Linked DNA regions of Bombyx mori. The protein of the gene in region 1 interacts with the protein of each later gene in a biochemical or structural test. Links are inferred from orthologs where the notes say so. Each region holds a gene or a part of one and is shown on either strand. Other genes may lie near its edges.

Region 1 (3,833 bases):
CTTGGGCAATTTTATGCATACAAAAATTATTTGCACGCAAATCGTGTGTCAGAAACATTATAGAGGTGCATCGAGAAGGCGCACTGTGTTGCGCAATATTACTACGGTTTTCCCCTTTGAAATCAAACAAGGAAAATGTAATCAGAATTCTTGTCTACGATATTCTTAAGGACGTCCCGCACTTATGCTCTTATGCACTTGATTAAAGCAAACATTTCAGCATCTTATAGCGTGGTTAAGTAGATGAGATAATGGCCCAGTGAGTAATAGGCAAACTACGAGGTGCTACCTACTATATGAGGTTCAGATACCAATAGAGCATTGGAAAAGTACTTTTTCAAAAGCTATGTTCAAAAGGCAATATCGCTGCAATAACAATGACTAATGAACTGTTTGTTTTTATTTATTGATTTGTTTCTTAGATGGATGAACGAGCTCACAGCCCACCTAATGTTAAGTGTTTACTGGAGCATTATTATTATTGCGGGTTAAATTTTTATGACGCGATGTTATTCCTTCATCGTGGAAGACATTCGTGAGAATTTGTTAAGTACGTACATATTTCATTAGAAAAATTGGGCGGGATTCAAATACCGGTACAGTCGTATCGCTCGATACGATCGTATTATTTTTAGGCCACGAAGATTTTCTGAAACCGTAGAAGAATCATACAGAATCCCTGGGCACGGCTTCCCGGAATTTTTCGAAATCAATTAAACTCAAAATACACACTATTTTACAAGGATTATTTTCTAACGATTAGTTATTTCATTGGCCGTATTCTGATTCTTCAAAGGTAGGTAGCATTAACTCATGTCTGTTGCAAAACTAGTTCCCGACTGAAGGGCAATACAGCTACTTTACAACACAATTGAAATTCATGGTTCACGACAGAGTAATGTGAAATTTGACTTCAAGGACTAAAAGCCGCAACATTAAAAACAAAAAACATTAAAGGTCAAATTTTCTAAACATCTATACTTACTGTATTTCCTAAGGGCTTCTTCTCGTTCGTGAGCATCGAAGTACCACAGTGTTATTGCGTATCTGTAACGAATGGTGATTTGAATATAATCGGATACTTAGTATTAAGTGTGATAAAGCACTTGTTTTGCACATTCCTTTCATATAACTATCCTGCCCTTCTCCCAGACACCTAGGGTCGGCGCAACATGTTTTCTCCTTCCATACTCTTCTATCATATACCATTTCTTCACTCACTCTCTTCTCACCCATATCGTCTTTCACGCAATCCATCCATTTCTTCTTAGATCTACCTCTTCCTCTATATCCTTCCGCATTCATAGTTAACATTCTCTTACCAATCTATTTTTCATTTCGTCTCATCACATATCCATACCATCCCAAACGCGCACTTCTCAGCTTCTCTGTCACAGGTGCCACTTTCAGACTTCCTCTAACATATTAATTCCGTATTCTATCCATTCTCGTTACTCCACACATCCATCGCAACATTCGCATCTCTGCTGCATGCAATCGCCTTGCTGTTTTGCACATTCCTTTATGCGACAGAATTCCGACATAATACGCGTTGTTTACTGATAATGATTTACTAGTCATTAAGCTACTGATGATTGTCGTTCGGAATACATTCGTTCGGTTTTAAACATATCGGTATTATATTCGTCGTCTTATCTATAGTTTTGTGGTTGGCTTAAGGCTATACAGTATGCTTAGTGCGAGTTTTTTAACGTACTCGATAGCGTAAGAGTTAATTCAAATTTGTATGCAGCTTGGAACAGCGCCCCTAGCGGCAAACGTAGGTAAACGTTTCAACTCTATACAAATTAACCTTTTACGCTATCGAGTACGTTAAAAAACTCGCACTAAGCACACAGATAAGTAAGCTTTAACGGAGGCTTTCATTTGCGTTAATACATAGAAAAAATACCTCCCTACGAAATAATATTTTTACTGTGAATATGAATCGCTATCTGAGCACTTCCGAAGGAAGACTTGCACCCTAAGGAGATGACGTCACGGGCAAAGTATCAGCTCGAACTCTTCGACGAGCACAATGCCCTGCGCTGTGGCTGGTGCCATCGTTGTAGTCATGTTGATCGGTAGAGTAGTTAAGATGCGAAAGCGTGTCAAGCAAATTCACTTTCGCTTTTATAATATTCAGTGTGGATTTCATGCACAGAATATCATATGATACAGAAATATACTTTGAAAAGTACTTTAAGTTTAAGAAAAGTAGTTTGATGTAGATGCAAATCTAAAGTGGATTAAAAATGTATGATAATCTATACTAATATAAAAATCTATAGTGGTTTTTACGGATGTTCCGTTATAACTACTGAACCGTGCATCCGATTGACTTCAAACTTGGTATCCATGTAGAAAATACATGTACTTAATGGATAGGCTAATATTTATATGAGTTTTGGACTCCCTACATCAGTTGCGGAGGCGTTAATGATGAGAATCTTTGTGGGGGAGAGAAATAATAATGTTAATTATAAATGCCCAGCGAAACGGACAGGTACAGCTAGTAGTTCCTATATTTGTTGTTTCTTTTCATCTTAAAAATCGTACGTCGAGAATCTATTGGAATGAAATATTTCACATGTCTAGTAATACCTGGTGCTGTAGGCGGGTTGGACTTCGTGTGGGTTTCGGCGATCCGACCAGAAGAAAAGCATCCGGTCGAATATCGGTGCTATATCGGCCACTTGATTGGTACCTTCCGGGAACACCCTGGAACCAATTATTATTAATGCAATTTAGCTAAGCTACAAAAATATGTAATATTTTCGATGCTGTCTATTTCTTTTTAGATCTACTGTTTTTGCTACGATGTTTTTAAAAAAAATCTTCTTTCTTTCCTATTACCCTCTGTTGGGGTGTAGGGCTCGAATCAAATTCATCCATTTGCATCGGTCTTGGGCAGTCTGTTCTAACTCCTCCCATGTCATGCCCAAGACGCCCAGTTCCTCCATCGAGCGACACCAAGTTGTTCTGGGCCGGCCTCTCTTCGTTTTGCCAGACACTGTCTAGGTCAGTGCTCTCTTGGATTGGTGGATAGCAGGCTTTCTTAATGTGTGACCAATCCAATGCCGCGATAAAAAATTTTTATTGCTTAAATGGTTGCCACCCACTTTGAGATATAAGTTCTAAGGTCTCAGTATAGTTACAACGGCTGCCCCACCCTTCAAGCCGAAAGGCATTACTGCTTCACGGCAGAAATAGGCAGGGCGGTGGTACCTACCCGTGTGGACTCATAAGAGGTCCTACCATATTATAACTGTGCTTAGAATAAAATTATTAAAGCAACTACATATATTTATTTACCTGAGTAGTCCACCGTATCGTTTCACGTCCCAGTCCAGGTTTAGATAATATATGGCGGTGATGCACCTGCCATCTTTGTTGGGGTTGTCTACGTGCTTCACGTAATGGCTGCCAAGTCCTGGGTAGCACGCTACCATGGCCTGTAGCGAATTATTTTAATTAATTAATTACATGTTGTTTGATTACCACAGCACTAACAAATAACATAATATGTTGTTTAAAACCTTTAAAAAAAACACGCATAAATACGGTTAAAAACCAAACCAACAATAATTAATCTCATCTTTTTTTCAACATTTTGATACTGGCCCGAACATCAGAGCGAAGTTAAAATTATTGTACTTCCATTGGTCCTTGATGCGTGTGCAAATTTCCTATTTAGTTTTGAAGTCCGTGAAAATGACGTTCAAAAATTCCGTTACATACAAACAAACACACATACCAATATATTAAAAGTGAGTTAAAAAGGGATATTTATCTATTTTATTTATAGTCGACCTTTGATTTGGACTGTTTCC
Region 2 (4,483 bases), on another chromosome or scaffold:
GAAAGAGACCTTTAAGGCAAGTCAAACGCTAATCCAGATTAAAAGGTGTCTTTGAGGGATTAAAAATATATGAAATGAAATTGCCCCGCGCCCGTCTCGCTCAGTCGTTCGTTGTCACATAATGTCGCATAAAGCATTTGGATTGTTTTGATCTCACGTAAACAATCGAACTATAACAGTTCCTTTAAGCTGTTATTCAATACTAAACTTTATCCAGCCAGTAACCTGATAATATTATTTACGTCATAAATTGATGTAATAAACGGTAACCCAAACGTTCGACTGAACGGGTCGTACGAACCGGATCATTTTGTCAACAGGTCAGTACCGTAAAATGGGGCGATTAGGGACAAATTCCAACTTTATGAGCAATTTTAAGGTAGTTGTTGATGTATATAATGCTATATCAGGATCAAAATGATTGAGTCTTGGGGGCATCTTTGTTGTCTAATTTAAAAATAAGCAACTAGCATTCCAGTTTAAGCAAAAAATGCAAAAATAGGTGTAATCCCTATTTACCCGAAAATTGCGGTTAATTGGGACGAAATGAGAAATTTGCTAGGGTTGGCACTACTTTTATTTTTATATATAGTTTTAATTTATTTATTTATTTAGTTGCACCAACAAAGTGATCATCAATAAAAAAAATTGAAAAACTGACAAAAGTACATGGCAGACATCACCTCAATTATAGGTGCAATCGACAGTGCAGTAACAACAAAATATATATATATATATATATATATATTTACACATATATAGTGGGCTTTCTTAGAAACGGTTTATATTTCTCCGTTCTTGGTAAGTACTTAGGGGGCTGATATTTCTATCTGGGTTAAGAGATTAGGTGTGTCGGTTATTCCATGGATTAATCAGATGAATACCCCCACTCTGAACAAATATTAAATATTCTATTATGTATTACTGAAACATTTTTGTCACCTTGAGATTTCATTGATCTTGTTACATGTCTCTGCAAAATCGACTTACTTATATTAAATTGCTTATCTATTTCAACTAAAGACTTATTCCCAATTTCGCTTCGATAAACCAGATTTTTACCAACAAATTTAAAAAAGATTGTTATAACTACATAGACAACCCTACAAACCTGTACCTATTTATACTTAGGTCGTTTCCATTTCACGTATTCTCATCCCAATTGACCCCTTTTTCGTTGTTATTTGTACCTAAGACGTCCCCAATATCCCCAAGAACAACAGATTTTTACATGTATTTTTATTTAATCAAATACATTAAAACCAATAACAACTGAGACTTACCTTTAATATATATGCTGGTTCAAACACTAAATAACGTTTATAAATCATAGTCGTCTTCTATTATTATCAAATAAATAAAAGAGAGCAAAGTTTCTAGCACTAAAATAATTACCACCACAGGAAGTTAATTTGAAACGCGATTTTTTATAAGTTAGCAGCTATTATCATGCATATTCAGAGTTGTTTTGTGAACTTTCAACATTCTACTATTAAACTACAAAAAAATGGAAGATTTTGCAACGAATATAAAACTTATATTGAGCGTCGAAAGATTTTCCCGGTTTTTTCCCGATTCGCCTTTCAATCCCTAATCGCCCCATTTTACCGGTACTGATCTGAATCTCTAAAATTGAACGAACGACACATATCTAGTGGTCACACTGAATCAAAGCCAAAAACTTGAATTGTCATACTGTCAAATATTCTCTGATTTATTTGTACCTACTTGTTACCTAGTTTTGTTGTGTGTTAATATATAAATATTATCTGTTACTTTCGCTTTCTAGAAACTTTTAAAGGTAAGAGTAAGATAAATGTCCTCTTGATAAATTCAAGTTGCGATGTCGATAAGATGTTTTTCAACATGAAAATAGTTGATTGAATGATAAACATTAACTACGTATTATCTTTACGATCGAACAAACACCACGCTTTATTTACAGATGAGTGAAGAAAGCAAAGCTTTGACGGACAAGTCTGAAAGCAGCTCTTTCGAAGACTTAGCGGCTGCGGCTGCTGAGGAGATCGAGGAAGCGAAACTTGCCGAAGCTGCCGCAGCAGAGAAGGAAAAATCCCCAGAAGTAAAGAATGACGAATGGCAAGATGTTCTTGGGTCCGGAGCTCTGCTTAAAAAGGTTGCTTAAAGTTTAAAAATATTAATCTAAACTTCTTCTTTAAATCAATAGATTAAATAAATAAAAATTTAATTTCGTTCATTACTTAACGATTTATTCACCGAAAAGTTTTTATAATGGGATAAAAAAAACTAAAACCCATAATTTTAATATAAAAAAAAATAACTGTACATGAGGCAAATTTAAAATATTTCAAATATATTTTCCGCTTTTAATTTTTTATTCCAAATTAAACAAGGAAACTTGTATCCAAAGTCTTAATAAAAAGAAGAAAATGTTTAATGGTTAAAATCAAATGCATAAAGTAGTAAAATCACCTCGGAAATTGCATCAATTGACTAAAACTTACAAGAGTATTCTACTGTGGAACATTTGCTACATTTCAAAGCAAAAGAAACTCCCATTTGCAGATATTGAAACAAGGGGATGAAATATCTGGATCCAGACCACAAAGAGGGGACATATGCAGAATCAGCTATGAACTCAAAATAAAAGACAGTAACAACATTGTGGAGAAAAGAGATCAGATAAAAATATATTTAGGAGACAATGAGGTGAGTTAAAACTGATTCTAATATATATTATCTAATAAAGTTTTTTGAAGTGAACTGAAATAATCCTAGAGTCATTAATGTTGACACTGATTTTGGTTTTGTGGTTGGATGATGAGGTTTATCACCCATGTACTAGCGATAGACATTCCAAAACAAATTTAATAATTATGAATAATCTGTGTGAAGATGATTAAAAAAAAGCTTTAGGGCTGCTAATATGAAGCTTTGTCATTTCCAGAAGTTCTTGTTTCTTATTATTCACAGATAATATATTGATGATAATTTTTGGGATTATGAATATATTTAGTACATTTTATCAGTTTCTGCCTTTGAGGGTTTATAGTAAAAAGTATCTTGTAAAGTAGGTGATGCAAAGACTAAAAATGTTTTAAATTTAGGTATATTTTTGTGTTAAAGATCTATTATTTGTTCTTATCAGAAATCTGTTGTGAGCGATATCTTTTCCTTGATTTACTTATATGCATTACTTTATATACTGTAATATGATGGCCATATTGATTAGATAATTTTTGTTTGCATCTTATAAAATTTAAGACTATAGAAATGAATGCATGAAAGTTTTGCAAAAGTGATGAATAGCATTTGAAATCTATATGTCAGTTAAAAATATTCAAAAATATAATTTTATTCAGAAATGAATGATTTTGTAACTTTATATTTTTTTTAGTAAGATGTATTTATATTGTTTCATAATCATTATTATTTATGGGTATTTATAGGATGTATTTATTGATTTTGAGAATTTAAGAATTAAATCATATTTTTGCAGTTTTCTTCTGAGAGGTTCCACTAACCTACTGTCTTTCTTTTTAGGAATGTGTTCCCTTGCACTCTATACATATTGCAAACCAACAAAAAATAACCATAAACATTACAGCAACTATAAACTAATTATAGACGAAAAGTATCTAGGGCAGTTTTGTTCCTAAATAATATCTCTTCTATATAATTGAGTAAAATTATTTTAACTAAAACAACTGAAACTGTTTCATTAAATAAATTTAATATTTTAGGTATTGCAAGGTTTGGACCTAGCATTAACTTTAATGTACAGAGGTGAGGAATGTATTTTGCAACTTGCTCCAAGATTTGCCTATGGAGAAATGGGACTTAAACCAGGTGAGAGCCTTGGATTAGTCGGACAGTGTGATGAACCCAAGTATAAAGGACCTATTATTGGACCAGACACATGGCTTGAAGCCAAATTAGTGCTGCATGATTGGTCAGAAGAACCTGAACACGATGTATTGTCAATAGCGGAAAAAATGGAAATCGGGTAATGTATTTATGTTTCTGTTTCAACTATAATATAATTTTCTACTTTTAATTTATAGCTAAACTAAAATAGAACTAAAAAAAAATATTTCAATTTAATGTTGCTATTATGATTTTACCAGTAGGATACGTAAGCAAAGAAAAACTCATGAAAGTTATGTTGAATTACAATAGTTGTTGGATTTTAAGTTCATAATTAGAATATCCACAGAATAAAGCTTGTGTATTATTTAAAATATATACTACGGCACTGCACTACTAATGCATAGGTTAATGAGCTCCTAGCTCACCTGGTCTTTAGTTTTAAAACCAGAATGCCACCACCCACCTTGAGATATGGGATTGAAGTGTCAATAGTATTGTATAACAGCCTTTTTATTGTTCCATGATTCAGACATAAATGGTGTTGACTACCCTTTCTGACTCACAATGGGCCTCTAACTTATATTTTTTAATTATGATTTTATACCTAAAATATTCAATTATGTTAATTTTG

What was found.
Region 2: the proteins of egl nine homolog 1 (region 1) and peptidyl-prolyl cis-trans isomerase FKBP8 form a complex in vitro, tested with the Homo sapiens proteins (2 studies listed by BioGRID, with this or other methods). The link is inferred for Bombyx mori from reciprocal best matches to the Homo sapiens genes EGLN1 and FKBP8.

Annotation. Positions count from the first base shown.
Region 1 is NC_085131.1:9,875,882-9,879,714, forward strand, and holds part of egl nine homolog 1, read right to left. Parts: intron 3,456-3,833; coding exon 3,316-3,455; intron 2,722-3,315; coding exon 2,605-2,721; intron 1,048-2,604; coding exon 936-1,047; 3' UTR 1-935. UniProt on the Homo sapiens protein: Cellular oxygen sensor that catalyzes, under normoxic conditions, the post-translational formation of 4-hydroxyproline in hypoxia-inducible factor (HIF) alpha proteins.
Region 2 is NC_085125.1:9,573,353-9,577,835, forward strand, and holds the start of peptidyl-prolyl cis-trans isomerase FKBP8, read left to right. Parts: upstream 1-1,617; 5' UTR 1,618-1,801; intron 1,802-1,945; coding exon 1,946-2,137; intron 2,138-2,547; coding exon 2,548-2,691; intron 2,692-3,725; coding exon 3,726-3,988; intron 3,989-4,483. UniProt on the Homo sapiens protein: Constitutively inactive PPiase, which becomes active when bound to calmodulin and calcium. Seems to act as a chaperone for BCL2, targets it to the mitochondria and modulates its phosphorylation state.